5 linked regions of the Danio rerio genome follow. The protein of the gene in region 1 interacts with the protein of each later gene in a pairwise test. Links are inferred from orthologs where the notes say so. Each region holds a gene or a part of one and is shown in the gene's direction. Other genes may lie near its edges. The genes, in order: arrdc3a, nedd4l, bag3, wwp2 and stam2.

Region 1 (6,425 bases):
ATATATGTACAACCTAAATCTATAATCATTGAATCCCTAACTATTTATAACATTTGTTTTTAACAGAACACGTGAATATTTTAACTATTTAAAATGATAGGCATTGTAAAATGCACTTACACAAGTTTGCCAATTACGACATATTGCAATTAGCAAACGCTCCCTGAGCGACATTGCGCTGAAGGAATTTAGAAAATTAGCACGACGCAATGTAAGTGTGCAGTCTGGGTAGCTTTTAAGTACACTGTTCAAGACAACAACAATTTGACTTGATACACAGACTTATTTTAGAAACCTTAAAATATTTGAACATATTTTAATTATTAATTGTAGATTCTTATTTAAGCCTTAAAACATATCAGACTCTGCATCTGAAGTGATTGACAGAGATAGAGCACACTCAAAAGTTAACAAATCATAAACCCGGGTTTAAAAGGGCAACACCTTTGTGTTAAGAATAAGACAGGCAGCCTGTGTATGTATTTTATTGCCTTAATGTCATCGTTTTCATCGTTAAAAAAAATGCTCTTCTCTATAAATGGCAACATAAAGTATCAGAGTAGATTGGACAGTAATTGTTGAACAGTAATTTACCATTCAAGGTCACAGTTACTACCTGTAATGTGTACATAAAGTAACTTTGTAATTTATTCTTTGCATTACAAAATTTCATACAAAATCTTGTTTTACAGTAAAATACTGTCTTGTTTTATTACAGCAAAACACTTTTAAAGTTATTTACTGCATAATCTACAGCAATTGGTAACAGTGGGGTTTAGATATTACTGTTAGTCTCAGCCTAGATATCCCACCAAGTAATGGCAACAGACCTCTGGCTAAACATATGTATGCGGCACACTTTTTAGGATGGGAGTCACAGAGGTAGTGGCCAACACAAAAGCATCTGAACAAATAAAGAAGCTGTCATGATTACATTGTTGAAAATGCTCATCCACAGAGATACAATAAACGCAGGTTTCTTAAAATTAGTCATAATATCTTTAAATGATGCGAGAGCTTTGCTTGAGGTAAAATCTAAAAGAAATGATTTAACTTGATTGCCAACTGAATATGGCAAAAGACCTCTGTGTAACGACAAAAGACTGGTTTCATTTCTATTTCGCTTTGGGTAAATGCAAATTCAAGCAAACATTACCATCCCCGAAATGATTGCACACAAAAGAAAGTTCCTGAATGTCAATAGACCTTCTGACAAATCAGACCAGCCCTAGTTTACTCCTCTCTCCTGACCATTCAATATAGCTTTCTAATAGTTTTAAAGTAGACAGAAAGACAGACAGACAGACAGACAGACAGACAGACAGACAGACAGACAGACAGACAGACAGATAGACAGATAGACAGATAGATAGATAGATAGATAGATAGATAGATAGATAGATAGATAGATAGATAGATAGATAGATAGATGCTCCTTTCTGTGTCAAACTGTAGCGTTTTTATTCTTTTTTTTTTACTAAATATTTTTTTCATTAAAAATACCTGCATACTATCCTTTTTCAATTATATGCACGTTCCCTTATATTTTATGTAAGTGTTTTGTTAATTATCGAAGTAGATAATAAATATATTAACAGCAAGTGATTTATTTGATAGCTGACCTGTTTTTCTTTTTCTTTTTTGATATTGATACGTTTTGATATTTATTATATAGGCAAAACATAAACGTTTAAAAAATGAACACTTTTTCTAGAGCCGTTTTTGCTCACATTTAACTATATTAGATATTAGTGGAGGGCATCTACACAAACATCACAAGAAACCATATGCTTTGTAATATGTGCGCTGTAATCTGGCATTATATCACAAAGAGTTAATTATTTCATACAAACCTATTACTTCTGAGTGGAAATAATTTTCGAATTACGTCCCACTATTGAAACTCCAGAGGGCAGCACAATCCACCTTAACTCGTTCACACACAAACGCTACTAAAGAAAACGAGCAGGCGCAGGAGTTTCTGTAGCCGCTGAGTGGCGCATCGGTTTGTACAACCTGTACCAGCATGTACTGTACACAGCAGATGCAGAATCTGCGTCTGTATAAACTGAAAGGGAAGTACATACTGTAACATACAAATGCATATACTTACAGAAAGTTATAAAATATTATTTTAAGCATGACATTTAGAGTCTGAAAAAATCTGTAAAATGAGCAGAATATTAAGTTAGTTGATGTAGTGTATTCATAATCTTACATACATTCTCATAAAATAAATAATCAGTTCAAATTACATTAGCATTATTTTTATTTAGTTATTCTATTTGTTTATGTATTTATTTAACATCGAGTCAAATATATAAATTGTTTGGTCAAGTAGGCTACGTTTAAGTGCAATAAGTAGTTATATAAAGAAAAAAAATTGGAACAATGGATAAATATATTACTGGAGTCATCATAGCAATAAATTGCCAAAGGTTTGTATTTAATGTTCATTGTGTATTATTCCCCCATTGAGTAACCGGAGCTCAGTTTTGATACATGTAACAAATGTAACAAACACATGGCACTTTATACAAAAAGTTAAAATAATAATGCAAAGCTAAAACTTGTGAATAACGTCTAGACTTCCACGTATTCTTTTAATACACTGCTCAGCTGTTCGCTTGTTATTTGTCCTGAGTCCCCGGTCAAAGAACTGCACAAAAAGCGGAAGAAGGGGGACGGATTGCAGCTTCGCGCATGCGCACTAACTTGTTTTTCACAAGAGCAGCGCTTAAAGTGAGCCGGTGGGGAGAATCTCCCCGTCTTTCATTGCAGACCATCAAGCCTTCGCCGAGACGTGATAACAGCATCCTTTGCTGTTATTCAGCTCTCGCATCTCAATGACACTATCCAGTGTTAACTCTTGCTTTTTTCATAAGAGATTATTTTCATAGACTTTTCCGTGTGACTTTTTTTTCTTGTTTTGTCTAAAGAACTTTGTACATTATCTTTTCTTGCCACCATGGTGCTAGGAAAGGTAAAAAGCTTCATTGTAAGCTACGACTGTCTTAATGACAGCAATGTCCCTGTTTTCTCGAGTGGGGACTCCGTCTCAGGAAGAGTTATTATCGAAGTCACCGGAGAGATTCGCGTGAAGTCTCTTAAAATAAACGCAAAAGGATTTGCGAAAGTTCGTTGGACAGAATCACGAAATGCTGGATCCAGCACTGCCTACACTCAAAATTACACAGAAGAAGTGGAATATCTCAATCATAGAGACATCCTAATTGGCCATGAAAGAGGTAAGCATGCCGATCAAACATGTAGATTTGTTCAGAAAAAGAGCAGATATGAATGTTCTGGTGGGATGCTCAGTGGTCCAGAATGACATGACATAGGCTTCTTTGGATGCTGCACAGTACTTGTTGACTGGTGAACCTGTAGACACTATTGTGTGCAGACATTTCAGTTCTTTTCACACTGTAATTATGCATTAATTTGCGGGACTTGATTGAGTTGTTTGTCAAATTAAAAACACCCAATATATGACATACGCATTCGTTCACAAGAACCATCTGGCAAAGATCATTTTCCGTTTAGATCTACCAAATGCGTGATGTTCAGCATCTCTTTTGTACTCTAAACAACATATCAGTATTCTCTCAGGTGTCAGCTGCTTGAATGAATGGTCAGTTTGCTCGTCTTGTACTACAGTTTTATTAAAACGATATTCGCATTCTGTGCTCTACCGCTGTATGTTGATTCTGGGAGAACAATGTTATAAAATAAATGCAGTACAAAGGCGTAATGGTACATAATTCGGTTTAATGTCTTAAGTTTCCACCCATTGTTAGAAGCGGTTCAATCCTGTTTTGATGCAGTGTCTAGTCGTTCTCTTCTCTGATTGGTGGAGGCGTCAACGTGTCTTCTATGACATCATGCTTTTGCGGAAAGTGGGGAAAACAGCAGCAACTTTGCACCAGTAGCTGTAGTAAGCAAGCGTACACTTATTATGGGGCTGAATTGAAATGCAGTCAAACGTTCATCAGAAAAAGGCCGACAACATATCTGCATTACTGTTCATTCATGGAGTTGGCCGGTGCAATTATAAAATCTAAAACGAACGTCCGATATCTTCACGTTGTATGTCTGTAAATACTTATTTGCATATTCATTAGGTCGGAAGTTTTATTGGCATTTATAGAACTCACGGCCTGGTTATAATAACTGATTCTTAGTTTCTATATGTTTGATCTGGCACCTTGAGTCACTCCAAACGTGCAAAAACGACAACAACTCAAAGAGACTCTTCGCATTCCAGTTTTTGCATCTGTACATGCTTTATGGATATTAATCACCAGACAGTTTAGTTGTCGTTTGTTGCCACACAACTTGCAACCACCGCTTTGTTCCACATTGTACTGCTGGCACCGAACAGGACTTCAACTCACATTACGAAATAACAAGTGGGCCAAACGTGGTTTTAGTAAATACAAATTGTACATGTTTTCCATAATATTTAGCTTGAGATGGAGAAACATTGTAATGTTTGCCTGTTGAAACTCTGTATACAAATCAGATAGTGCATGTTATGATTTTGTTAGTTGCATGCTTACTGTAATTTCAAAGAAATTAACTTCCTGTATATTTCGAATCGAAGTAATGTCTAATAATGTCGAAACAATGTCTAATTGTGACTTACTGCTTCTGTATGAATGTTTGGGTTACAATAAAGGTGAATTTGTTTTGGAAACTGATCGTTTTTCTGTCGTTTGTGATTGCTGGTGTGAGATTTTTTTTTTTCAATCTGTCATATTTTTCTCACGTGTTTTTGCTGAATGGGAGAAAAATACTCCACGCCGCAGCACACGCGTGCATTCAATGGGAGGCTTGTCCCTGCTGGTCCTGTGCGCGCGCGCGCGTTACCGCACACTGAATACGTAATGAGCGCGCCGGCACAGTGAAGCAGCGGGCTCCGGTTTAGGCCGGTCTTCTCTTGCTCGAGTCTGCCCTTGATTGACAGCTCCCTACTTGTTTACCGTGCCTCTGCTAAGCTGAATACAGTGCTGAGCTGGCGAAACGAAAGCCACCGGTGTTTTTCAGTGTTACACAAACAAATATTCGATTTTAAATGGTTATTTTATTTCACATTCACCTTCTTATGAACTGCCGTAGCGCTTATGAGTATTTTTATCTCCCTTTTAGAATAAACACATGTGACACAATGATTATACATGTTCATAATTCATGGGTGTTGAGGGTTTATGAGAATCAAACAACTTGGTTTATACATGTTCTTGATTTACAAGTATGCTCTTTGAATAAATTCAATCGTGTAATAAACAAGAAGATGATCAATGCTTTGGCAGGTAAGGTATATTTGGAATATTATTCTTTTCTGTTTCAGATGATGATAACTCCGAGGAGGGACTCACCACTATTCATTCAGGAAGGCATGAGTATGCATTCAGCTTTGAGCTTCCACAAACGTGAGTGGATGTGGCACCAGACCTAACATTTGTTCACCCGTTCTGTATGTCGTAATGCTTAATGAAATGTTTCTTTGTGTCGTGCACATGCAGACCTCTGGCTACCTCATTCGAAGGGAAGCATGGCAGTGTGCGCTACTGGGTAAAGGCTGAGTTGCACAGGCCGTGGCTTCTGCCCATGAAGACAAAGAAAGAGTTCACTGTCTTTGAACACATAGACATCAACACTCCTCTTCTGCTGGTGAGCGTTTGCATCATTTACATCCCTTTACTCAGCATTGGAGAATAACCATTATTTTGTATTCTAAAGTGTTGTTATTCTACTTTCACAGTCTCCGCAGGCAGGAACTAAAGAAAAGACTTTATGCTGCTGGTTTTGCACCTCAGGTCCAATTTCCCTAAGTGCCAAAATTGAACGAAAGGGTTATACTCCAGGTAAGCCTCCTAATAGTTTACATTTTCAATATTTTGCATCATACTAGGGTTTCTAAAAACTTATTTTGGTAATTGTTTATATTTTCTTCGATTTAACAGATTGAAATGTTTGTAAAATCTATTAATTGAAGTTACAGTTTTGTTATTCTGATTTTTATGTTGTATAAAATGACCAAAAGGCATAGTTGAATATATATATACATTTGTGTTTTTAATTTTATTGCCATTTAGTGCTTGTTGGATATTACAGATTTATTACAGTCTTTATAATTTATGGTACCTATAACAATACATTTTGTCTTCTCACAGGAGAGTCCATTCAGATCTTTGCTGAAATTGAAAACTGTTCCTCGCGTATGGTTGTGCCAAAGGCCGCCATTTACCAAACACAGACCTTCTTTGCCAAAGGGAAGATGAAGGAAATCAAGCAATTGGTGGCCAACATCCGAGGAGAGTCGCTTTCTTCTGGCAAGACAGAGACATGGAATGGAAAGATGCTGAAGATTCCTCCTGTATCGCCCTCCATCCTGGACTGCAGTATCATAAGAGTGGAGT
Region 2 (5,981 bases), on another chromosome or scaffold:
CGTACTATGTGAACCACAACAACCGCACCACACAGTGGAAGAGGCCCAGCAGTGTGTATGTGACCCCATTCTCCATTCATCAAAAAGCATGACACATGAGCTAAATCTCCTATTTGTGATGTATAAAGCGGTTTCTCGTGGATTCATTCACCACAGGACATGTTAATGTTGAATTTATTATGATTTTTGGTCAACATTACCAGACTGATATGTGCCGAACTATGTATTTTGTTCTCCCCGTCTGTGCTTTAGGGATGTGGTTTCAGAAACGGAAAATGATAATCAATTGCGGCAGATTAACCAGGAAGCCCACAGAGTTTTCCGCTCTCGACGGCACATTAGCGAAGACCTGGAAAATGAGCAGCTGGACATCAGGGACATAGACGACGTTAGTATTTCAACTCTGAAGCCAGATAACATCATCATAATTAAATAAAGCAGAATATATATATATATATATATATATATATATATATATATATATATATATATATATATATATATATATATATATATATATTTATATATATTTATATATATATATATATTTATATATATATATATATATATATATATATATATATATATATATATATATATATTTGGTCACACTTTACAGTAATGTTTCACTAGTTAATGTAATAATTTACAACTAATAATGAACAATATGTGTACAGTATTTATTGATCATAATTCAACATTTACTAATGCATTTTTAAAATCCAAATTCATGCTGTGAAATTAGTGGAGTGTGAGTAAATATAAACAACTTTTTTCATTAACTTCCATTAAATTTATTAAAATTTTCATTAATATTTGTTTGTGTTCAGTGTTTGTTTATGTTATTAAGTACAGTGAATCTAGAAAGTATTTATAGGGCTTCACTTTTTCCACATTTTTTTATGTTACAGCCTTATTCCAAAATGGATCAATTTATATCCTCATAATTCTACACAAAATACCCCATAATGACAACATGAAATGTAAATGTCAATTAAAAAAAATATATATATAAAAAAAAAAAAAACTGAAAAATCACATGTACAGAAGTATTCACAGCCTTTGTGCAATACTTTGATGATGCACCTTTGGCAGCAATTACAGCCTCAAGTCTTTTTGAATATGATCCCACAACCTTGGCACATCTGTCTTTGGGATTTTTTACCCATTCCTCTTTGCAGTACCTCTCAAGCTCTATCAGGTTGGATGAGAACCGACGGTGTACAGTCATTTTCAGATCTCTCCAGAGATGTTCAATGAGATTTAGGTCTGGGCTCTGGCTGGGCCACTTAAGGACATTTACTGAGTTGTTGTGAAGGCACTCCAATGATATTTTGGCGGTGTGCTTTGGGTCATTGTCCTGCTGGAGGATGAACCGTTGCTCCAGTCTGAAGTCAAGAGCACTCTGGAGCAGGTTTTCATTCAGGGGTGTGTCTGTACACTGCTGCATTCATCTTTCCCTCTATCCTGACTAGTTTCCCAGTTCCTGCTGCTGAATAATATTCCCACAACATAATGCTGCCACCACAATGCTTCACTGTAGGTATGGTATTAGCCTGGTGATTAGCAGTGCCTGGTTTTCTCCAAACGTCTGGCATTCACTCCAAAGAGTTCAATTTTATTCTCCTCAGACAACAGAATGTTGTTTCTTATGGTCTGAGAGTCTTTCAGATGCCTTTTGGCAAATTCTAGGCAGGGAGTGGTTTCCGTCTGGCCACTCTACCATACAGGCCTGTTTGGTGGATTGCTGCACAGATGGTCGTCCCTCTTTTAAGATTCTCCTCTTCACAGAAGACCGCTGGAGCTCAGATTGAGTGACCATCGGATTTTTAATCCCCTCCCTGACCTCCCCCAGCTTAGATGGCTGGTCAGCTCTAGGAAGAGTCGTGTGGGTTCCAAACATCTTCCACTTATGGATGATGGAGGCCACTGTGCTCATTGGAAGTTTCAAAGCAGCAGACAATTTTTTCTATAACCTTCCCCAGCCAAGTGCCTCGAGACAATCTTGTCTCGGAGGTCTACAGACAATTCCTTTGTCTTCATGCTTGGTTTGTGCTTTGACATGCACCATCAACCCTGGGACCTTATATAGACAGATGCCTTTTCAAATCATGTCCAATCAACTGAATTTACCACAGAAGAACTCCAACAAAGGTGCTGAAACATCTCAAGAATGATCAGTAGAAACAGAATGTAGCTGAGCTCAATTTAAAGCTTCACGGCAAAAACTGTGAATACTTATGTTCATGTGATTTTTTCATGTTTTTTTATTTTTAATAAATTTTCACATTGTCATTATGGGCTTTTGTGTGTAGAATTTTGAAGCAATAAATTATTTTAATCCATTTTGGAATAAGGCTGTAACATAAAAAAATGTGGAAAAAGTGAAGCACTATGTATACCTTCTGAATGCACTGTATATTATCTAACTAACAAATACAAACTAAATACAACAATTTCTTATGATACAAGCAACATTCCCTCTTTTTCAGTCATGGGAGCCCATATCAGAGGAAGATCCGACTTTATTAACAGATGGTCTGAACCATTCTCTGTCGGGACCCTCCTCTCTGGCAATGCCCCTCTCCAGCACTCCAGACTTCTCAGATGAGATCAGCCTTAGATTGTCTCTCGCTCCAGACACCAACGGAGAAATCCCGGGACCCAGCTCTGCTGTGGTAAGACAAAACCGCTTGGTTATAGGAAACATTTCAATCTGTTAAATCCTCCATTATAACGTAACATTGCTGCATATGGGTCAAACAAGGCAGGTTATAAATGTACAAACCTTCACACACCAAGAGCCCCAAATCTATTCTTCGTTTAATTTTGGAGAACGAGACCATCCTCCATGTTCAGTTGTTGCCTGTATTTATTTTAATCTACATGAGGGCTTTAAAGGTGTCTGAAAGTTTAACCTGGTGCCATGAAATCAATTTGCTGCATCTCATCCTATTGCTGTGTCTTTAATCTAATGTAATGACCCCAGGGATTGCAATCCAATGGAAAATAGTTACCCTGTTTATTTATGTAACTATTAGCTATTTTTCTTTTTTGTAGGTTATGGATAAAATATGATAACTCTAATAGTTTAATCAAATGCATTCCATTTTAGGAGTCACCAAATGACATACATTTCAATAAAACTGAAGAGATACATTTTACAACAGCAGTTAGACGTATATTTTACAGCAAATTCCCTAAATGTAATTCTTAAAACTAATTACACGATTTCTTATGATAAAACTAGGCCACTAGAAAAAAATCTTAATCTTGTATAAGTCTAAAATTTTATTCTTTATGGTCTTAAAAGGGTCTTTAAAAGTCTTAAATTTGTGGACCCAATACAAACCACAGGAGAGGGCCATTTTTTCAGCAAGATAGCACTCCGTCTCAGCCTTCACATCAAAGCTCCTGAAAGCAAAGGCAAAGCAGGTCCAGGGGCCTCATGTATGAAGACTTGCATTGAATGCATACTAAAACATTGCGTACACACAAAGCTGTATATGTGCGTACGCAGTAAAAAATCAGATTCATGAAACACTGCGTAACTGGAATCCCACACATATTCTCTTTGTACATCCGAATTAATGTGAAACTGAGCGCACGTGCACGAGTGCAAAACCCCTCCCTGCCTCCTCCCCTAATTAATATGGTAATGACTCTACTTTGGCAAAACCAAACGAAAAAGCAATGGCAAAAGCAAGCAAAAAGAGAAACTTTGAACAGAATGTGAATCGGAGGTGCTCCTTTTGGAGGTAGACCAGAGAAAAACGGTGTTATTTGCAAGTTTGTCCTCCGGAATTACGTTAATAGCAAATGAAAAAAATAGAGGTGGAGAGTTTAGCTGACGCGGTTAACACATTGGGGTCTAAGCATCGCACTGTGAGTGAATTAAAAAAGAAATGGTTGGCTGTAAAGATGTAAAAATTTGTAGTGTCTATTTAGGCTAAGTGCAATTAGCACACCTCGTTGGAATGAGCTAGTTGAGTGATTCCCGCCCATCACCGTTTGATTGACAGAGACAACAGAACTAAAGAGCGCTGCAATCAGTAGCGTGAGTAGCGTAGCTCGTAAAGGGCATGGCAACATGTTTTGACACGTTCGATCATGAACTCGGTTCGAATCCAGCGTCTGATGAACTCATTCTTCTTTTTTCCCCCATCAAATATCAGATTTTGCCTACTCTTCATCTCGAGGAAGACAAGTAGGAATCATTAATAAGTGTGAATTATGTTAAGCACATTTGAGCATCACATATTATTTGCAAATTTATTGAATGGAAATGTTTCCGATTCACGTATGCAAATTCGTCTTCAGATGGCGCCTTCATAGCAACGTGCGTGCAGTCGATCACTCTGATTAGATAGGGAAAACCGGCGATTGCTGCATGGTATGGAAACCTTATATACCTGCTAGAAATGCAGATGACACACAAGAAACGCATGTACGCCAGACATGAAGTTGGCGTGGACCAACGCACATTCTCACGTCCATTTCATCGTAAGTTAATCCAAACGTGAGCGTGAAATCGGGCGTACGAAAAGTTTTTGTGCACGCGTTGATACGTGAGGCCCCAGGTCCTTCACAATTGGCCAGCCCAGTTACCAGACGAAGGTGGAGGCATTGAAGATTAATCCAAAGAATCTTGATGAACTCTGGGAGTCCTGCAAGAACGCTTTCTTCGCCATTCCAGATGACTTTATTAATAAGTGATTTGAGTCATTACAGAGATGTGTGGATGCAGTCCTCCAAGCTCATGGGAGTCAGACACAATATTCATTCCTTTTCCAATCCAGCATGACTTTATATTCTATACTGTATATTATTTCTTTAAAGTGACAAGACTTTTGTATAAACAAACTCAGACCTTACTGTCCTAATTAAATAATTAAAAATCAAGGCATGATCATCAGCGTAATCTAAAGGCCTTTGCCTTTCATATAAGCCATGTCTGATTCCAAATGATCAACTAGAAGTCAAGTTATTATTTGTTGTTCCTAAAACTTAGATAAGTGACAAAACTTTTGCCAGGTAGTGTATCTTGATTTGGGTTAAGCAGAAACAAATTGAGCACAAATAAACACTGTCATTTTTCGTGCTTGCGTAAAGTATGCCCTTAGTTTGACACAGACATCTAATCTTGAAATATTTGTATTATTATTTTTTAACAAAGACAATCTTAAAATGTAGTAGTTATGTAGTTTTTAATCCCAAGTAAGTCCATCATAACTGCTTTTAATCAACTTGCAGCTCATAAAATCTATCGTAGCTTTATGGTCGCAGAGTTCTTTCTGTCATTTGGCTGAAAGCTTGTGTTATAAAAGCTGAAGTTATACACTCAGGCTTTTTAAGACAGCACTGGCCTTGACTCAACAACAGATGCTGACTAAGACTTTTTCTGCCCCTCAAAAGAACAATACATTAGCTGGACGTTTCTAGACTAATGAAAATGTTAGACTTATTCAGAAGATTGAGGTGGGAAATTGGCATGTTTTTATTCCTCTTCAGCGTATTGAAATGGTGGTGAGTACATTTTGTCAAATCTAAAAGCTGACTCTGAAGTGCGCGCATACACGTGCAGCTCTGAATCAGTCAGTGAGTCACTGTGGAGGCAGCGCAGGGGTTCCACACACTCAGCTGGGAAACATTTCTCACTTTATGCCTTCTTTTACAATGTTTTTAAAATTCACTGCACTGTATGAATTGTGGATTTCACATCGATTATTAGTTAACGTTCTAATTTTTATTATATGCCTAATTATTATGCTAATTATTATGTGTCCTAGCCGGGTCTAAGCTAAAATTTTGCAGTCATGACAGCTGCCACATTAAGCAAATTAAACCGTGTGCAGTATATAGATATTCACGTGTATACTGTATGATGGTTGATTTAAATGACTTGCTGGTTTACCTGTATACCATTCAAAAGCTTAGCTAAGTCAAATCAGACCGCTTTGGACACAGCTGAACTTTGCATA
Region 3 (5,562 bases), on another chromosome or scaffold:
CCCACTCGAGAAAAAATCTACCGTGAACAAGTGCCCATTCAGATTCAACAGAACCGTGCTGCCAGTCCCATCCAAGTCCCCTTAAGAGCCCAGTCGCCAGTCATGGCTCAGATCATGGGAGAGAGGCCTCAGGTATGTGTGTTATTTATCAAGAGGATATTTTACTGAAAGATGAAAAAAAAAAAACATAATCTAAAGAAAAGTGTAGCCATTGACATTGATAGAAGGAAAATTTTCATTTTAATGGCTACAGGTTTCTTCAAAATATCTCCTTTTGTGTTCAACAACAGAAAAAACCTTAAGCATGTTTGAACTAATGGAGGATGCATAAATAATGACATAATTTTCATTTTTGAATGAATTTTCTGTTCAAAAGTGCACTTAGCAATTTTTGAGAAATGCTTATGACACCAGTGTCTGACCGATACCCAAAACACACTTGCAGCCAATCTTCAGTAAGGGGTTTGTCTAGTAACACTAGTGGAGAATTCAAAAAGGGCATGCCATGACAATTTGTAACCTTTTGATTTAGTGGCTAATTTGTATGAATTTGTATGATCTCATTTGTTAGATTTATTATGGTTTGCTCATCCCCCAATGACGGTTGGGTTTAAGGGTGGGGTTGGATGCTATGCCTTCTTTTTAAAATCTTACGTTTACGTTTGACTGAACTCGTACAAATTTGTGCGAATTAGCCACTAAACTGACAAATAGTAAAATAGTTACATTTCCTTTTTTGATCAGGCTGGTTTGTTTTGGCGTATTATTTTTCAACATAGGCTCATTCTGAAAATGTAGCCCTATGTACGTTTCTGGAGATCGCGAATTATGTAGCCAGAGCTATATATGGCTGCATTTTATCTTTAAAACAAACGCTACTGACTACCTCCAAGTGGACAGCTTTCATGCTGTTGCTAGTTTGTCCGGTTAGCTCACCATGTACGCCAGCAGACTTGAGACGAAAAGAGGAGTTGACCACGATGAAAATAAACATGTAAACAATATGGTAAGAATGTGTAAAAAGTATGGTAAAATCTGAAAACGCAGTAAAAAATCTGGCGAGGTCTTTTCTTTTTCTTGATTGCTTTTTAAAATTGTTGATTGGGTTTAGGGATGTGGATGGGCAGGTCAGTGGGTGCTTTTAAAAATATTATTGGTTGGGTTTATGGAAAGAGGAGGGTGGGTCAGCTGATCGGTTAGTCACTCAGTCAATCAGACAGTCAAATAGTCAGTCAACAGCGGCCTCTGGTGGATTTACATAAAAACAACAGGAGCGAATTGCACTCACGAGGGAAATTTGAAATCTCAAAAAGTGCACACAGTGGCCTCTAGTGAATTCGCGAAAACAAAAACTGCAAAACATACGTAGCTCCTGGGATGTATTTGGCGGTCTCCAGGAATGTATATCGAGGTACATTTTCAGAATTAGCCTGGGTTGTTATTTTTGGTACTTTCAAATAATATTGTTTGGCATAAATTGCTTCTTGCACCTCTAATGTTCATTTATGTCATATTTATTGTTATTATTAATCAAGTAATCATAAATAAGTAAATAAAAGAGGTACATATAAATGAAACTAAAGAGAATATGTTTTCATTTCTAGATGCAGCAACATATTGGACACACAGCCATACCTTCAAAAATTGAACATCCAGTTGAAGAAATCATCAGAGTACCTACATTTGAGGTTCCCATTCAAAGAGTGAGTGAAGTTCCCCAGCAGATACATCATCAGCCAGTACAACAACAACAACAACCTACACAGCAGCCTCAGCCAAAAGCACAACCCTCCCCGCAGGTATCAGAAACATCCAATATTACCATACAAGTTCCTCCAGCACCAGAGCCCCAGGAAACAGCTGCTCCTCAAACGCCTCAAGAAGTCTCGTCCCCGCAACTCCAGCCTGAAGAGACTCTGGAACAAGATCTGAGCCACCCAGGACTGGTCAAAGTGCAGCAGATAGTGGAACGTGTGGAGAAGCTGGCACAGAATGTCAAGGGCTTCGATGGGAAGAAGAATGATAAAAGATACTTGGTACTGGAGGAGATGTTGACTAAAGAACTGCTAGCTCTGGACTCTGTAGATCCAGAAGGTCGTCCAGATGTGCGTCAGGCTCGGAGGGACGGCGTCCGCAGAGTTCAGAATATTCTAGACGAACTGGAGATGATCGGAGAGATGCAGGCTGGAAATGAGGCAAAAGGAGAGCAGAGTATGATTGACCAGTTGAACACAGAGAGAGTCAAGGAGTTTTCATAACTGCTCAAAGAAGGCACACATTTGAGAACACTAATATAATCCCCATTCTTCTTTTTACTTGTGCAATTATTATTAGTTGCATGCACAAATAATTGAATTTTTCTGTTGGAAATGATCTAACGTAAATTGTTTACTGAGTGCTGTTATGTGATGCTGCTGTTGTCAAATCTCACCATGCCAATGTCTTGTAGCAAAAGACATAATGGTGATCAGTTTTATTTAAGAAACATACCTGAAAATGAGGCCTTGAACCAGAAGAAAGTATTTTAACGGCCAAAAAGTATCTTTTGTACCATGTGGAATGAATGAAGAGTATTCCTTAAGAAAACATGTTGTTTTTGAAGTCGTGAGCCATCAGCGTGAAACGTTTTAATTCGATTTTTAGCATTACGTGGATTAAAATGAAGAAATCTACATGTTTTAATTAAGACTTTTGGTTTTGGACTATGGGATTATTTTGTTTCATACTTGTATAAACAATTAATGCCTTAGAATATAAACATTTTAACATCTTTAACATCAAAGAATAGGTCATTGTTGAGAGCAAGCTTTGCTGACGGAATTCCTTGTGATGGTTTGAACGCCTGTCAGTATTGTTATTTGTTGAATGAAAGGATACAAATAATGCTATATTTTTATTCTATTTTTCTGTGCCAAAAAGAACATTTCAACTAGTATGAATGTTCTGCTTAAAAATAGAGAATTTCAAAAAAAATAAGTATGATAAAATACTGATTGAATATACTGTATGGTCGCCTTTATGATTAAGGCTTTGTTTTTTAAGGCAGTCAGGGTCAGTGCAAAGTTGTGGACTCCTGTTTTGTCAACATTGTGACCTTGAGCAAGATAACTTAATCATAACTTGCTCTGAGGGAAACCAAAAGTGTACCAAAAATGACTTTGTATAATCTATTAGCTCAATTTAATTCAAAGCAGAGTGCTATATGTCTCACATAAAGCTTGTGAGGCTTTCTTTTTTTATCTCAATGACCTGTTACTGACTCAGATATCGTACTAATACTGCGAACAAAACTGGTTTCAAAGTCTGTTTTGTGAAATAGTATGCAATGTTCAGTGTTCACAGCTTGATTATTTGCAGTTTGTTCAAATGTCGACACGATATGGTCACATAAGCATGACTGCAAATAAAAAAAATTCAATTAAATAAAGCACTTTGCTAAAATGATGTTTCCAGGATTTTCATTTACAACCAAAGCTTCAAAGTTTTTAATAAGTATTTATTAGTGTAAAGTACTTGAAGAATTATAGTGTGGGATTATAGTATTATGCTGAATTTATTTAGTCTGAACTTTGATATAAAAAATGCATCAAGATAAAATTAATTGGGACTATGTTTTGAGAGAGAATAGTGGCTTGGTGCGCTGCAGAGAATACGTTCTAGTACAATTAGGGCTCGCCCTAGCCTGATACAATTTAAAGTATTTCATAGAATCCATTTCTCAAGAACCAGGCTATCTGAAAATTTTCCCAATATTGACGACAGATGTGACAGATGTCATGCACCAAAGTGTAATGTTCTTTATGTGCTCTCTGTTACAAAATTATTGGATTAATTGTTTTACAATTATGTCCCAGGCGTTGCTGGTAAATATAAACCCATCCTCTGATGTTGCCATTTTTGAGGTTCCAAAGATTTGGTCCCAGTTTAATTCTAAACAACTTGAAATTTTGGCCTTTACCTCACTATTCTACTACACTGGAAACCAAATAAGCCAAATGAGCCTCCAACTACATCCCAGTGGCTTGTAGATACCATGCATTTTCTAAAGTTGGAAAAGATTAGATGCTCTGGGTAAACTAATTTCTTTAAAAAGTGGCAATGTTTTAAAACTTATTTTAACTCTCCTAAGCTCTTGCCTTCCAATTTATAGATGCACTATCCTTCTTTATTAGTCGATTTATTTTATAGTAATAAATGCTTTTTTTTTAAACTATTATTACTTTATACTGTTTAGTTGTAAATATTTACTCTCAACATTGATAGTTGGTTGTAATTTTCTGTACACTTATTACTCTGGTTTCCGTTTTTCTTTTCCATTTTTATTATTATCATCATTATTTTTTCTTTTTTTAATATATTTTCTTTTCTTTTGAAAAAAAAGCAACAACAAAGATGTTTGTACTGATATATTGTTTGTTTTTTTCCACAAAAAATAAAAAATAAATAAATAAAAATTTGACCATAAAGTACATCAAGAATAATGAAGAATAATATAGTAAAATTCCTGGCCATTTTTAGCTCCAACTATTTTCTAATGAAGGCAGACACTGGTTGCAGTTTTTGAGTGGATACTCATTTTAAATGTAATTACTTAAATTTAACTATAAAGTATGTTTTATTCATTAATTAATTTTCTTTTCAGCTTAGTCCCTTTATTAATCTGGGGTCACCACAGCGCCACCACAACTTATCCAGGATATGTGTTACGCAGCGGATGCTCTTCCAGCTGCAACTCATCACTGAGAAACATCCATACACACTAAGGACAATTTAGCTTACCCATAACCTGCTAACTCCACACAGAAATGCCAACTGACCCATCAGAGGTTTGAACCAGCCATAATTTACCTTCTTGCTGTGAGGCGATCGGGCTACCCACAGCACCATTTTGTTGCCCCTAGTATGTTTTATGGATATGTGTAGTATAAAAATTACCATGTTGTTATTATTATCATGATTTATTATCAGCATCAACTGTGTTGATCACTGCCAGTTACAAATCCTGTACCATGGCCTCATAAAAAGCAAAGTGTCCATTGTATACTGTACAATACACTTTTCAAAGTATTGCAAGAAGTAGGTCACAGATACTGTTTTGTTCACTAGGAAAGTATCTGCAATTATACATTCAGCCCTTGATATTAGAAAGATCAAAGCTATGAAGGACAGTGATACAAGTTTTTCACCCCTACCCTAGATATTACAGAAACATGCCGAAAAGATTTTATGACTTACTAAAAAAAATTATTTCAATTCACTTAAAAGTTAATACAAAACAGTTAAAGTATGTTGACACAACACTCTAGCAAAAACAGACAACACTATCAAAATGATCCCAGCTCGTCAAGAGCTTGCAGAGAGTTTAGATTGAAAAATCTGATGAGGTTCTTCATAACCCCTAAACTGTCTGCATTGCACACAGATATTGAAAGTTTGGGCTCTTTTTGGGGACAATGTGAAACCTCAATGGCTAACCATTTTCATGTTTTTTTAGCTTGCCCAAAAATACAGACCTTCTGCTATGAAATAGCGACTGAAATAAAAAAGAGATATCTGGAGAAT
Region 4 (5,981 bases), on another chromosome or scaffold:
TTGCTATTATTAACTTTGATCCACAGCCTGGTCAAACAGATATCGGCGCATGTCTGAATGTAGTCCGACTGTTGTCTGTTTGTAATGAGCGGACTACATTCACATGTGCATCGAGACCTGTTTAACCAGACTGTGTCAGGTTTTTGTCCTTAAACTGCTCCTTTTAGTTCTTTACGCTCTTCCAAATCCGTACCAGATCTCATCCAAAGCCTTCTGTTGTGTTTTGATGTGATTTTTGACCATCGTAGCTGTGAGATGAAATGGCTGCTATCATTCAGCGTAGTGATACAGAGCCGTAATTAGGTTGCAGATTATTAAAATGTCTATTTCAGAGGTCGCCACAAAATGAACCCCCAGTTTCAGCATATGTTTTACGCAGTGGATGCCCTTCCAGCTGCAACCCAGTATTGGGAAACACCCATACACTCATTCACACACACTCGTACACTAAGGCCAATTCGGTTCATTCAGTTCCCCTATTGCGGATGTGTATGGGGGAAACAGGAGCACCCGAAGGAAACTAATGCCAACTGACCCAGCTGGGTCTCGAACCAGCGACCTTCTTGCTGTGAGGCCCCAGTGCTAACCACTGAGCCACTGTGCTGCCCTTTTTAATTAATGTTTATGATTGTTTTGTTGATTTCCAACACTAACTGTATTGCACCCAAAACCTGCCGGAAGCACTTTAGCTGTGTGTTTATTTGAAAATAACCGCACACCTCAGAATGCTCATTAGCCAATGAGAATCAAGCATTCAAAATCCCTGGAGTATATGTTATATTTAAGTCTTAAAACTTCGTGTTCCCTCAATGTTCTCTTTCTCACTGAAGTTGTTTTGATTGAAGTGTTCATCGTCTTCTCCTCATCTGCTAGTGTTGTCTGCGAAGCCTCAGTCTCCTAAACTGCCCAATCGTCACTCTCGCCTGAGTTCATTTGTGGAAGTGACCGCCGACGGCCTGAGCAGCGAGACCAAGAAAACGGGCAAACGCAGCGGACACCTCGAGCTGCAGTGGAATGAAGACCTCACACTGTAAGCCTTCACGCGTCACTTTTCATTGAAGAATATAATATTTAAGAAGTGCCATGAAAACTGATTAATTCATCATCATGATGATCATTTTAATAACTCATTTCTAATAATGGATTTATTTTATCTTTGCCATGATGAGAGTAATTAATATTTGACTAGATATTTTTCAAGACACTTCTATACAGCTTAAAGTGACATTTAAAGGCTTAACTAGGTTAATTAGGGTAACTAGGCGAGTTTGGGTAATTTGGAAAATTATTGTATAACGATGGTTTGTTCTGTAGACTATCACGAAAAAAATTAGCTTAAAAGGGCTAATTTTGTTCCTAAAATGGTGTTTAAAAAAAATTAAAACTGGATTTATTCTAGCCGAAATAAAACATAAGACTTTCTCCAGAAGAAAAAATATTATTAGACATACTGTGAAAATTTCCTTGCTCTGTTAAACAACATTCAGGAAAATATTTTAAAAAAGAAGAGAAAAATTTGAAGGGGGTGAATAGTACTGACTTCAACTATATTATAAAAACTCTCCCTTTACCATTTAACTTGCTCAGGTTACTAGCGCATCCTCGTCTTAATTGACCAACTTAGTCCTTATACGTAACTTACGTGTGTGTGTGTGTATATATATTTTTTTCCTAACGTGTGTGTGTGTGTGTGTGTGTGTGTGTGTGTGTGTGTGTGTGTGTGTGTGTGTGTGTGTGTGTGTGTGTGTGTGTGTGTGGTGCAGGAACGTGACTCCTCAGAGTCGTCTGGATCTGAAGGTGTGGAGTTGTCACACTTTGAGGAAGGAGCTTCTGGGCAGCGCCACCATCGACTTGTTGGACACTCTACGAACACATGATGGCAAGAGTGAGTTTAAACCCACACAAACACACACGGATACTCACTCTCACATGCACTGACACACGCTTGCACACTAACTCTCACAGACAAGCACAGATGCAGAGATCTGTTTGTTGGTTTAGAGCAGGGGTCACCAATCCTGGTCCTGGAGGGCCGGTGTCCCTGCAGGGTTTTGCTCCAACTTGCCTCAACACACCTGCCTGGGTGTTTCAAGTATACCAAGTAAGAGCTTGATTAGCTCGTTCAGGTGTGTTTGATTAGGGTTGGAGCAAAAATCTGCAGGACACCGGCCCTCCAGGAACAAGTTTGGTGACCACTGTTTTAGAGAAATAATGACAGATTATGGCAGAGTTTACGCTGCAGGGTTTAAGTGACTTAATTCAGATTTTTTTTTTTCTGCATGTGGCACAGATCGGATATGAGAGCGAGAGCACTATCCACCACATAACCAATGTAAACTGATAAAACTATTGCATGCATCACGTGCACATATTACGCCATGGACATGACATTAAGATGCCTACTCGTTTAAAAAGGCCTAGATTAAAAGAAGATGGCCAAATCTTTTCTGTCAAACTATTGGAAAGCAACTTGTCAAAAATAATAATAAATAAATGAAACTCTGCAAACAGATTAAATAAAAGAATAGAGAAAAGAGCGCTTTTTCATTATCAGCTGTCAGTCAGCGTCCGAATTTTTTTTAATTATTTTTTTTTTTGCGCAGTGTAAATGCAGAGAACCGTTCAGGAGTCACTTCTAAAAGATGATGTGAGCAGAAATGAAAAAAAAATCACATACAGTCACAATCGTATTGACCATCAAGATCTGCAGTGTAAGTGCAGCCAATGTAATGAGTGAACCTTTTTTTTTTTTTTTTTTTTTTCCCCACTTGATTTAAAGGCCTCTCGAGGTGCGTGAGGAGCAACTTCACTAATATCTGAGAACACTGACCCTGATGCTCTTTATTAAATAGATTGATTTGTTTTAAGTTCTGGGAATAACGGTCTGTTGTGCAGGTTTGGTGTGTAATTAATACTGGAGTGTTCTGATATGATCCGGAAGGGTTTAGCAGATCACTCCGCGCGGTTAGGCCCAGAGTTTTTTTGGGGGTAAAGTGGGTAAAGATGTTTCTGAGTCAGTTTTGTGCTTGCAGAAAAGCAGAGAAATGCTGCGTGATGGCGTTTTTAAGACTGTCAGCCTTATTTCCTTAGTTTGGGCTTTTTCTGTTTATTGGCTTATTTATTTTATTTGTTTTGTTTGGTGTGTTTTGGTCAAAGAAAAGAAATCACCACTTTAATGTTTGCAAACTTTTATAGCTATAAAACCAACAATCCATCTATAAAAACACTGTTAACAAAAGTAATATTGTTAGTATTGTTCAGTTCAATTCAGCTTTATTTGTATATTGCTTTTACAATGTAGATTGTGTCAAAGCAGCTTCACATAAATGGTCATAGTAACTGGATCAGGGTAGTTCAGTTTTTAGTGTTTAAGTTCAGTTTTAAGTTCAGGTTAGCTCAGTTCAGTGTGGTTTGAAATCATTACTGAGTCCATACACTGAAGGGTAAATTCATTGAGTAGCTTTTCAGATCCTGAACCATGCAAGCCAGTGGCGACAGCGACTTATCATCCTTACAATAACATTTGTTTCAAAGTTCTCCCTGTATTTATGCATTTATGTTTGTTGTGAATAAATTTTAGTTTATACTTTTTAAAACTTATGGTAATAAAAAAAAAAAAAACCACACACACACACACACACACACACACATCCAAGAGCAAACATTCCCAATAAATTCCAAAAAGTATTACTTTTTTTGGTCGTTTAGTTTTTTGAAACAAGTAGTAACACATATTTAATATTTTGAGAGATTTACAGTAAGAATAGTGATTTGAAATACTGAGAATAAAGCACTATAATAAGTTCTACGAATATTTCAACAATGCTCTGATTAAAATAAAGCATTATTTTGGAATTTTCTCTCAGCTTCAAAATGTCCTTTTTTTTTTTTTTTTTTTTAAATAGTTTTTGAAACTAAAACATATATATTTATTATACATTTTATATATAAAACTATGTTTTGACACTATTTAAAATGTGGCTTAAATTTCAATTTTTTTAATAGGGCATGTAAATTATCCACTGCCCATTACAAAGAAAAATGTTAAAGTTTTGTTCTGCAAGTCTTAAAAGGTCTTAAAGTCTTTGTGAAACCTGCAGAAAGCCTGATATAGAAAGCACTTTGAATTAATGCGTGGCTTTTTTTTTTAAGGTTTCAAATGGGTTATGTGATTTTTTTTAAATGTCAAAATATCCAGGAAATGATATTCCAGCTGTACACTTATTTCTGTTCTGATGAAAGCTCATACTTTTCTCTGACGTGTTCCTACTGAAATGTATTTAAAGTTTGATCATATTTGAAATCATGAAAAGCTTCATCAAATGGGTCCACAAATAAAAAATCTTTAATCTTTTATAATGTTCAGCAAATTGAGTTTTGCTATGAAAAATGTTTTTGTTGCTAAAGCACCTGTGATGTTAACATTAAAATAGAACCTGTGAAAACAAATGACAAATCAGAGACTAAAAACAAAAACGAAACAACAGTATATTTAACAGTCAAGATTTAAGCTTTCCTTTATTGCAAATTAGGATTCAGTGTGTGTATGCACGAGCGTGCATGAGTGCGTGTGTGCATTCATGTGCGTGCATTGGAGTGTTTGTGCACTTGTTCATTGCGTTCGTGTGTGCAAGTGCTTGTTCGTGCGTGTGCATGTCTTCATGCATGTACATTCGTGTGTGTGCGTGTTCGTGCATGTTTGGGTGTGCATTTGCGCAAGTGTGTGTTTGTGCACGCATGCATACGTGCATGTTTGTACATGTTTATGCATGGGCGTGCATGTGTGAGCGTATGCGTTTGTGCATGTTAGTGTGTGTGTGCGCATTGATGTTTGAGTGAGCACAAGCGTATGAGCATTTACGTGTGTGCGTACATGCATTTGCATGTGTGCGCATGTGCATACATGTTCATGTATGCGTGCGTGTGCATACATGTTCAAGCGAGTGTGTGTGCATGCATGTGTTTATAAGCACATCACTAATGTTTTTATTGGTCTACCTTTTTTTTTTTTTAATGACAGGCATCAATGTATTGTTCTGCTAGTGCTAAACAATTAGTTTCATCGCCTAATTCACATAATACCCCCCCTCTCTTCTCTCTCTCTCTCTCTCTCTCTCTCTCTCTCTCTCTCTCTCTCTCTCTCTCTCTCTCTCTCTCTCTCTCTCTCTCTCTCTCTCTCAGTGGAGAACGTTCAGCTCAGTCTGGTTCTGCAGACGGAGAACAAAGGCTCGGTTGTAGCAGGCGGTGAGCTCAACGTCTGTCTGGACGGCCTGGTTGTTGATCTGGGATCTTTGCCCAATGGCAGCGCCGCCTCAGACAGTGAGTCCCCTTCACTGGCACACACACATGCACACTTCATAGGGAACACTGCTAGAACACACAGAACAAACGCATGAACAAGCGCACATTGATGAGGCTGTGCTGGACAGAGCGGGTTTGAGCCTCACAGAGAGCTTTTCTCCTGTGTGTGTGTGTGTGTTCAGATTTTCTCCTGCAGGTCACAGGGTTTATTGACAACCACAAACTCAATCTGTTCACACACTCGCTCGGGGTGGAGAGGAAGTCGTTCTCTTACTTTCTTACTGGAGGAGAAAAAGACACCGTTTACTTTACAGTCCAAAAAGTGTGGTGGAGTTATGATTAAAACAAAAGTGTGTTTGAAAGTTTAAAATAGTGCTTATTTTAAAATGTTGTTCCTGTACAAAGCTGCCTTATATTTTAATAATTGTTTTAGTTATGACTTAAGACCATTTCAAATGGATTACCTTTAAACCTTTAAATTTTTTTTTTAACCGATTTAAAATGATTTTGGTTTAAAAACCTTGAAATATGGTGATGTCAGGGTACACAAAGTATTTTAGCTGCTTGGTTAAACCACTTGTTTAAAATGAGCTCAAACACAATTATTGAGTTTTTAGAGTCAACTTGTTTTTGTTAAACTTAAAATTTAAAAAAAACATTAAGTTAATTTGATCAATTTG
Region 5 (6,411 bases), on another chromosome or scaffold:
TTTGCCAAAGTCACACAAGTGGCAATTACACATCTGTCACATCCATAACAAAGCTTTTTCCTCATAAATGCAAAAATTTTAAATAAAATCAAATCGAAAAATGTTTGGGGGTTGTGTAGTTTAGTTCATAGAATTTCTACAAAGTATGTTGTAGACTGTAAACTCGCAGACTTTTTTTGGTCGCATCCATAATGTATGTTTATTTTCCTCATACAAAATATGGTGAGTTGCTCTGGAAAATATAAGCATGTTTCAATATAATCTTAACAAACACTTTCTATGTGAATTTATGTTTTGTGTTTTTACTGCAAATGTCACATCCATAACGCTGCAATTGCTCATATGTATATATATATATATATATATATATATATATATATATATATATATATATATATATATATATATATATATATATATATATATATAATCCTTTAATATACAGTTATACAGTTCCATTGTATAAGAATTTTTCTCTAGAACACTGACGAAAAATTAAAACTAAAAGAAGTGATTTTAACTAATTGTTTTGATACTTTCTTTAATAGAAATCCAGATGTATTGATTATTTTAAGGCAAAGTATACTCAGGAAGTATGTTTTATGCTTCACATTCAACATAAATGTGCTCAATATGTAAGATTTATCAACATTTACATTATGCTCATGTCAAAAAACCAGATAAGGGATTTAGAAACAAATCGACTGTATTGAATTGAAAAGTTGCCGAATTGGACATTATTATGCAACAGTTTCTGGTCAAAAAAAAACTAAAAAAAACTAAAAAAAAAAAAAAAGTGATTTTAATAAATAATTTGGATAATTTTATTAAAATTAATTATGTTTTTTCGATTTATTTAAGGCAAAACATACTCAGGAAGTAGGTTTTATGCTTCACATTCGCAATAAAAGTGCTCAAAATGTAAGGTTTATCAATATTTACATTATGCTCATGTCAAAGAAACATGAGTGATTTAGAAATAAATCGGCTGTATAAAATCATTATAATGCAACAGAATCTGGTCAAATAAAAACTAAAAGAAGTGATTTTAACAAATGATTTGGATAATTTTATTAATAGAAATCCATTATTTTTTTTTTTTTATTTAAGGCAAAGTATAGTCACAAAGTATATCCAATGCTTCACATTCGCCATGAATTTGCTAAATAAGCTTTACATTACATATGCTCATGTAAAAAACAACGATGAGTGATTTAGAAACGAATCGGCTGTCTCGAATCGAATCGATTAGTTCCTGAAACGGACATTATTGTGCAACAGTTTCTGGGTTACTAGGTCTAAGGTGCGCTTAATTCACTGCCTAGTCTAATGTCTACAAACTATACAAGGCTACATTCAAACTAACAAAGACACTAAATTCACTACAAGCCCTGTTACAACGCTGCCCAAACAAACCAGCGACTGTAAAACAAGAACAATGCATTCATGCAACAACAACCAATGCTCGCTGTCACCCATCACCAACCCTACGGCGAGTTAAATAAGCGATAATAGGCTTTACGTTACACCGCATTTGGATTGCACAGCAGACATGTGCAGAATAACTTTGTTGAAATGTTTCAGCTTTCAAATTAAACAGTGTTAAATAATACAATATAGACTCAATGGGGGAGGTGACCGCGATTCTGTCATACAGGCTGAAGAAATCCAACCATTCATTTCTGCTGTCACACACACACACACACACACACACGCTTGAAGAGAGAAGCACGGAAGCGCATTTGATTTCCACCATACCCTGCTGTCATAATCACGTTGTAAATGACCAGATATGCTGTGGCCAGTGTTCCGGGGCCCTTTTTCTTCTTGTGACCGGACTCACTGTGCGCTGTTTTGCTGGTCCCCATGGCAGGTGCCGACATGACTGAACTATCATTAGAAAGACTGGATCATCCAATGGTCCCGGTGGATAAAGGCGTGTGGCCTTGCTGACATGTAAAAAAGCTGCTTATGAATCCAGCGCCCTCTGGTGAGGACAGAGTGTAAACAATGCTTTGTTTTTTCAGTTACAGACTAGCGTCGTCTTTTTCGCAAGCATTTACATCAAATACAACTAAAATAATATGATTACAGTAATGTATGTGAATATATTGAGATTATTTAAAGTGAATTATGATGTTCTAGAAACATCTAAACTAGCCGCTAGATGGCAGTGCGAGTCTTGAAGTCAGAGCGCACTTCTGACTCAACCTATGCGCCTGTCTGAAATATAAACATATATATTTTTAAATATGCACAAGTATAATAATTTACTGGTTAAATTTTGAGTATTAATATAATTTGTGAACATGCTGCTTTAAATGTAGAATATGTTGACAGTTTCCTGGATGTATTTTCTGGCAGGCATTGCGCTCGTCTACTAAGTTTACGGAAGAGCAACTGGTGGAAGTGAACGCAATTTAATGGATGAGAGAAGGATAAATCGTCGATCTACGTAGATAATACGCTTCAGTTTTTTTCTTTGACACATAGGAAAAGGTTACAAAATGCCGTTGTTTGGTCAAAACCCGTTCGATCAGGATGTGGGTGAGTTTGGCAGTGTTGTTTTTGTCGAAGTGATGTGGTCTTGACAAGTCAGTAACTAAGGGCCGATCCAGCAGCGCTCCGTTCACTGCAAGATCCTCAAGAGCTCTGTTATTGTTTTGTTTATCGGTCATTCATAACTTATTTATCAAAATCTAACTATTAAAGCTGTCAAATGTAAAATAGATAACTGACAGTGTCTTTGGGATGTTGTTTTGAATTTCAAGAACTTTTTAGATGAACACTAAATGCTGAAATTATTCTTTTTTCCATCAAAATTTCTTTTATTTTGAATTATGTCAACACAATAAACATGACGTAGATGACAGCATAGCAGTGTGCATAAGAAAATACATTTAATAATCAAAATATAGGAATACAGGTTTTTGAATAATATTAATATTTGTAATAAGGGCAACAACAATAATAGTGACAATAAGAATAAAAAACTGAAGAATAAACGACAAAGACATACTAAAACAAATGATAATTATAAATATATACACACACACACACACACATATATATATGTACCGGTCAAGTGTTTGAGGTCAGTTTTTATTAAATTCTTCATTTTTTTAGTTAATATTGTATGTAGTTTCAAATGAAATTATTACTCCGTTCATTAATGCTTTTATTACTTTTTTCATTAATTATAAAAAAATAATAATCATAATAATTAATATTAGAGAGATTTCTCATGTGACTCTGAAGTAATGAAGCTGAAAAAGCATCTTTAAAATCACTGGAATTAATGAATAAATTAAATTATAAAGTACTTTTGAACAGTTATTTTATAGTGCAATACCATTTTACAATTGTACAGTTTGTCCTGTAATAAAGGCAAAAAATAAAGGCAGCCTTAGTGAGCAGGAGAAGCTTATTTTAATACACACACACACACACACACACACACACACACGTATATATATATATATATATATATATATATATATATATATATATATATATATATATATATATATATATATTATATTATAATTATTATTACTATTAGGCCAGCTCAAAGTAAATAATTAAAAGAATAGTAATAAACAAATAGATTAAGATATTCGAAAACATACTGATAGAAGTCTACGGCAATGAAGTAAAGTTAGTAAAAGCCCAAACAGGGAACCTTAAACAACTACACCAAAACCATAAGTTTTTTTGTTTTTGGATGTCTCCTTGATTCAAATTATATTGAAATTGTTTTTAAATTTATTTTATTGCTTGATTACTGACAAAAATATTTTTTAAATATATATTTTTGTGGCAGGGTCTTCAGTACGAAATATGAAAATTCTTTAATGCTCCAATAAGTCATATAAAAAAGTAATAATAATTTAATAATAATAATTTATTAATATTTAATAATTTAATAATAATAATAGTTGTAATAATACTTTCTTTATATGCTTTGATTTTATTATTCTGGATGTTTACGATAATATTATTTATTATTATTTAGTGTAAAATAATAAATTAATCTAGTTAAAAATAATATAATAAAACATAATTGTGTATTTTTAATAATAATTCATGCTGATTTTAAGATCAAAACGTTCATTTTTAATTAAAAAACGTTTTTATTTTATGTTTTATTTTATTTATTTATATTTATTTTTAATTTCTAGTAAGCTTAAGATTCAGGTATTTATTCTGTATGTTATATTAAAATATTGTTTCATATAATTTAGTATAAAATAATAACAAATAACTGTAATTAAAACAATGTAATTATAACAAATAATAATGTATTACTATGCTGATACTTATGATCAAAATGTCCTGTTTTAAAAGTTTCTGATTTAAAAAAAAAAACGTTTTATTTTATGTTTTATTTGATTTATTTATATTTTTTATTTCTTGTAAGCATGAATGGGTGGAAGATTAATAGGAGCTCAGTTGTCAAAAGGCGTGGAACCTAACAGCACACAATAGCATGATCTTTGGTTTTATTTTCAAAGCTTTGTCCTTTTAGAATTCAGTTTATATAAACGTGTGAAACTGTATGTTCCTTTATGGAGGAAATTAAGGCATATTATTATTGTTCATTTTATTTATTTATTCATGAATATGTACTTTTCTAGATGTTGCAATTCAAGACGTCGTTGTTACGAGTAAGAATTAGTCATAAAAATGTGCCCAGTTGCTTTGTTCTTAAAGGAGGGGGCAAATAATTTCTGCTGGTGGATTATGACAGAAACTGTTGTGCCTGTTGTGACAAGCTGTAAATGTAAAATAACAGGCAAAACAGGCTGTCACTGCTTAACGGTATGCATATCTTATTTTCAATAAACCTATCCTTCGAACTCAGGGATGCAAAACTGATAACTAAAACTAAAAGATTTTCTTTTTAAAATTGTGGTTTTTATTAGTTTTAGTTTTTTAGTGTTTTGTTAACAGCATTTATGGTAAATGAGAAGACATTTCCTCCTGCTGGTTTAGACGTTTGTCAAACACTTATCAGTTTTTTTGATATGGTTCTAGAATGACCTTGCGTTAAGAGTCTCATTTGAATGCTCATTTGTATTTTCAGAGAAAGCAACTAGTGAAACCAACACAGTGGAGGACTGGGGCCTCATTATGGATATCTGTGACCGTGTCGGGACAGCTCCAAATGGGTGAGCTGAAAAATCAACACGCAAACAATATATGAATAGTTTTTCTAAATTCTAATTTTATTACCAGGTAGTTACCTTAATGTCACTAGTATATAGGGATGCACCGATCCTGATATTTGGATCAGATATCGGTTCGATAAAGAGCCATTTGAGGAGAGCTGAGCTCCAGCGAGGGGGAGCATGAGCTGTCGCTCCTCCTCCTGTAAGCTGTTTTAATGCGTACACCAACCCCACCCCTAACCCTACCCCCAGTGACATCACTCGCAGAAGAAGTGCAAAAAAGGTGGAGCTCAAGCTTAAGCTCCCCCTCGCTGGAGCTCAGCTCTCCTCAAATGGCTCTGCAGCGAGCACCACTTGCATATTTTTGCTGGATTGGGTATCGGCTAGGCTTGGGCGGTATCCAAATTTTGATACCGTCAAACCGCCTCCATATTTTACCCCGGTATCCGGCGTAATAAAAAAAAATTATGACGTAAGGCTCAGACAGCGTCACCAAACTGTTGGCTTAAGCCTAAACCATTCAGAAACTGAATACATTCTATGCGACCTTAGGCTCGCGGAGAGAGAGAGAGAGAGAGAGAGAGAGAGAGAGAGAGAGAGAGAGAGAGAGAGACGCAAAGCGACGCACAGCACCTCTCTCTCTCCCTCTCTCTCTCTCTCCCTTTTACACACACACACACACACACACATCTCTCCCGCGATTTATTCAGAAATTTACTCCCGTAAGAAATCTGGCCGGCTCCCGCGGAACAGCAGTTATACCCGATAGGTCCCGAGTCCGACAGGTACATTTTGATTGACAGCTTTATACAGCCCAAACCCGTTCACAGCCTACATTAAATGTGCTCATGCACACAGCTCTAATGCATTTTTTTCAAGAATGAGTCATTTATATGTTTTAACATCATTTATTCGTAACAAGCGTAGACTATAGGCCACTTGAAAGTTGGAACAAAGAAATAAAATAAGTCCTACAGCTGTAACATCGTAACATCTCAGCACTCTATAGGTCTAGGTAGGCTACATGCACTTAGCCTTTAAATTAGCCTACACACCAATGAAAAGTAATCTTGCTTAACAAATCAAATTAAAATAAACTCTAAATGGTGACGGGTATTTTGGCAATAACGAAATTAAGATAAAGGCTCTGCAAGATGTGTTTCTCCACTTCTCTTCACAATCTGGCATTAAGGCGGCGGTGAAGCTGAATATTAAAATAATAATGCCACCATTAGTCTGT

What was found.
Region 2: the proteins of arrdc3a (region 1) and nedd4l interact in binary tests that used the Homo sapiens proteins (3 or more experiments, as listed by UniProt). The link is inferred for Danio rerio from reciprocal best matches to the Homo sapiens genes ARRDC3 and NEDD4L.
Region 3: the proteins of arrdc3a (region 1) and bag3 interact in binary tests that used the Homo sapiens proteins (3 or more experiments, as listed by UniProt). The two-hybrid records come from large-scale screens. The link is inferred for Danio rerio from reciprocal best matches to the Homo sapiens genes ARRDC3 and BAG3.
Region 4: the proteins of arrdc3a (region 1) and wwp2 interact in binary tests that used the Homo sapiens proteins (3 or more experiments, as listed by UniProt). The link is inferred for Danio rerio from reciprocal best matches to the Homo sapiens genes ARRDC3 and WWP2.
Region 5: the proteins of arrdc3a (region 1) and stam2 interact in binary tests that used the Homo sapiens proteins (3 or more experiments, as listed by UniProt). The two-hybrid records come from large-scale screens. The link is inferred for Danio rerio from reciprocal best matches to the Homo sapiens genes ARRDC3 and STAM2.

What each region holds. Positions count from the first base shown.
Region 1 is NC_133180.1:53,058,255-53,064,679, reverse strand, and holds the start of arrdc3a (arrestin domain-containing protein 3a), read left to right. Parts: upstream 1-2,786; 5' UTR 2,787-2,968; coding exon 2,969-3,248; intron 3,249-5,353; coding exon 5,354-5,435; intron 5,436-5,528; coding exon 5,529-5,676; intron 5,677-5,767; coding exon 5,768-5,870; intron 5,871-6,179; coding exon 6,180-6,425. UniProt on the Homo sapiens protein: Adapter protein that plays a role in regulating cell-surface expression of adrenergic receptors and probably also other G protein-coupled receptors.
Region 2 is NC_133196.1:12,310,363-12,316,343, reverse strand, and holds part of nedd4l (E3 ubiquitin-protein ligase NEDD4-like), read left to right. Parts: coding exon 1-55; intron 56-252; coding exon 253-388; intron 389-2,492; coding exon 2,493-2,678; intron 2,679-5,981. UniProt on the Homo sapiens protein: E3 ubiquitin-protein ligase that mediates the polyubiquitination of lysine and cysteine residues on target proteins and is thereby implicated in the regulation of various signaling pathways including autophagy, innate immunity or DNA repair.
Region 3 is NC_133188.1:28,713,618-28,719,179, forward strand, and holds the end of bag3 (BAG family molecular chaperone regulator 3), read left to right. Parts: coding exon 1-132; intron 133-1,604; coding exon 1,605-2,258; 3' UTR 2,259-3,441; downstream 3,442-5,562. UniProt on the Homo sapiens protein: Co-chaperone and adapter protein that connects different classes of molecular chaperones including heat shock proteins 70 (HSP70s), e.g. HSPA1A/HSP70 or HSPA8/HSC70, and small heat shock proteins (sHSPs), e.g. HSPB8.
Region 4 is NC_133200.1:37,283,152-37,289,132, forward strand, and holds part of wwp2 (NEDD4-like E3 ubiquitin-protein ligase WWP2), read left to right. Parts: intron 1-873; coding exon 874-1,030; intron 1,031-1,763; coding exon 1,764-1,885; intron 1,886-5,181; coding exon 5,182-5,319; intron 5,320-5,981. UniProt on the Homo sapiens protein: E3 ubiquitin-protein ligase which accepts ubiquitin from an E2 ubiquitin-conjugating enzyme in the form of a thioester and then directly transfers the ubiquitin to targeted substrates.
Region 5 is NC_133184.1:39,753,720-39,760,130, forward strand, and holds the start of stam2 (signal transducing adapter molecule 2), read left to right. Parts: upstream 1-2,382; 5' UTR 2,383-2,507; coding exon 2,508-2,547; intron 2,548-5,086; coding exon 5,087-5,171; intron 5,172-6,411. Other genes in the region: hacd2 (very-long-chain (3R)-3-hydroxyacyl-CoA dehydratase 2), read right to left, coding at 1,759-1,883.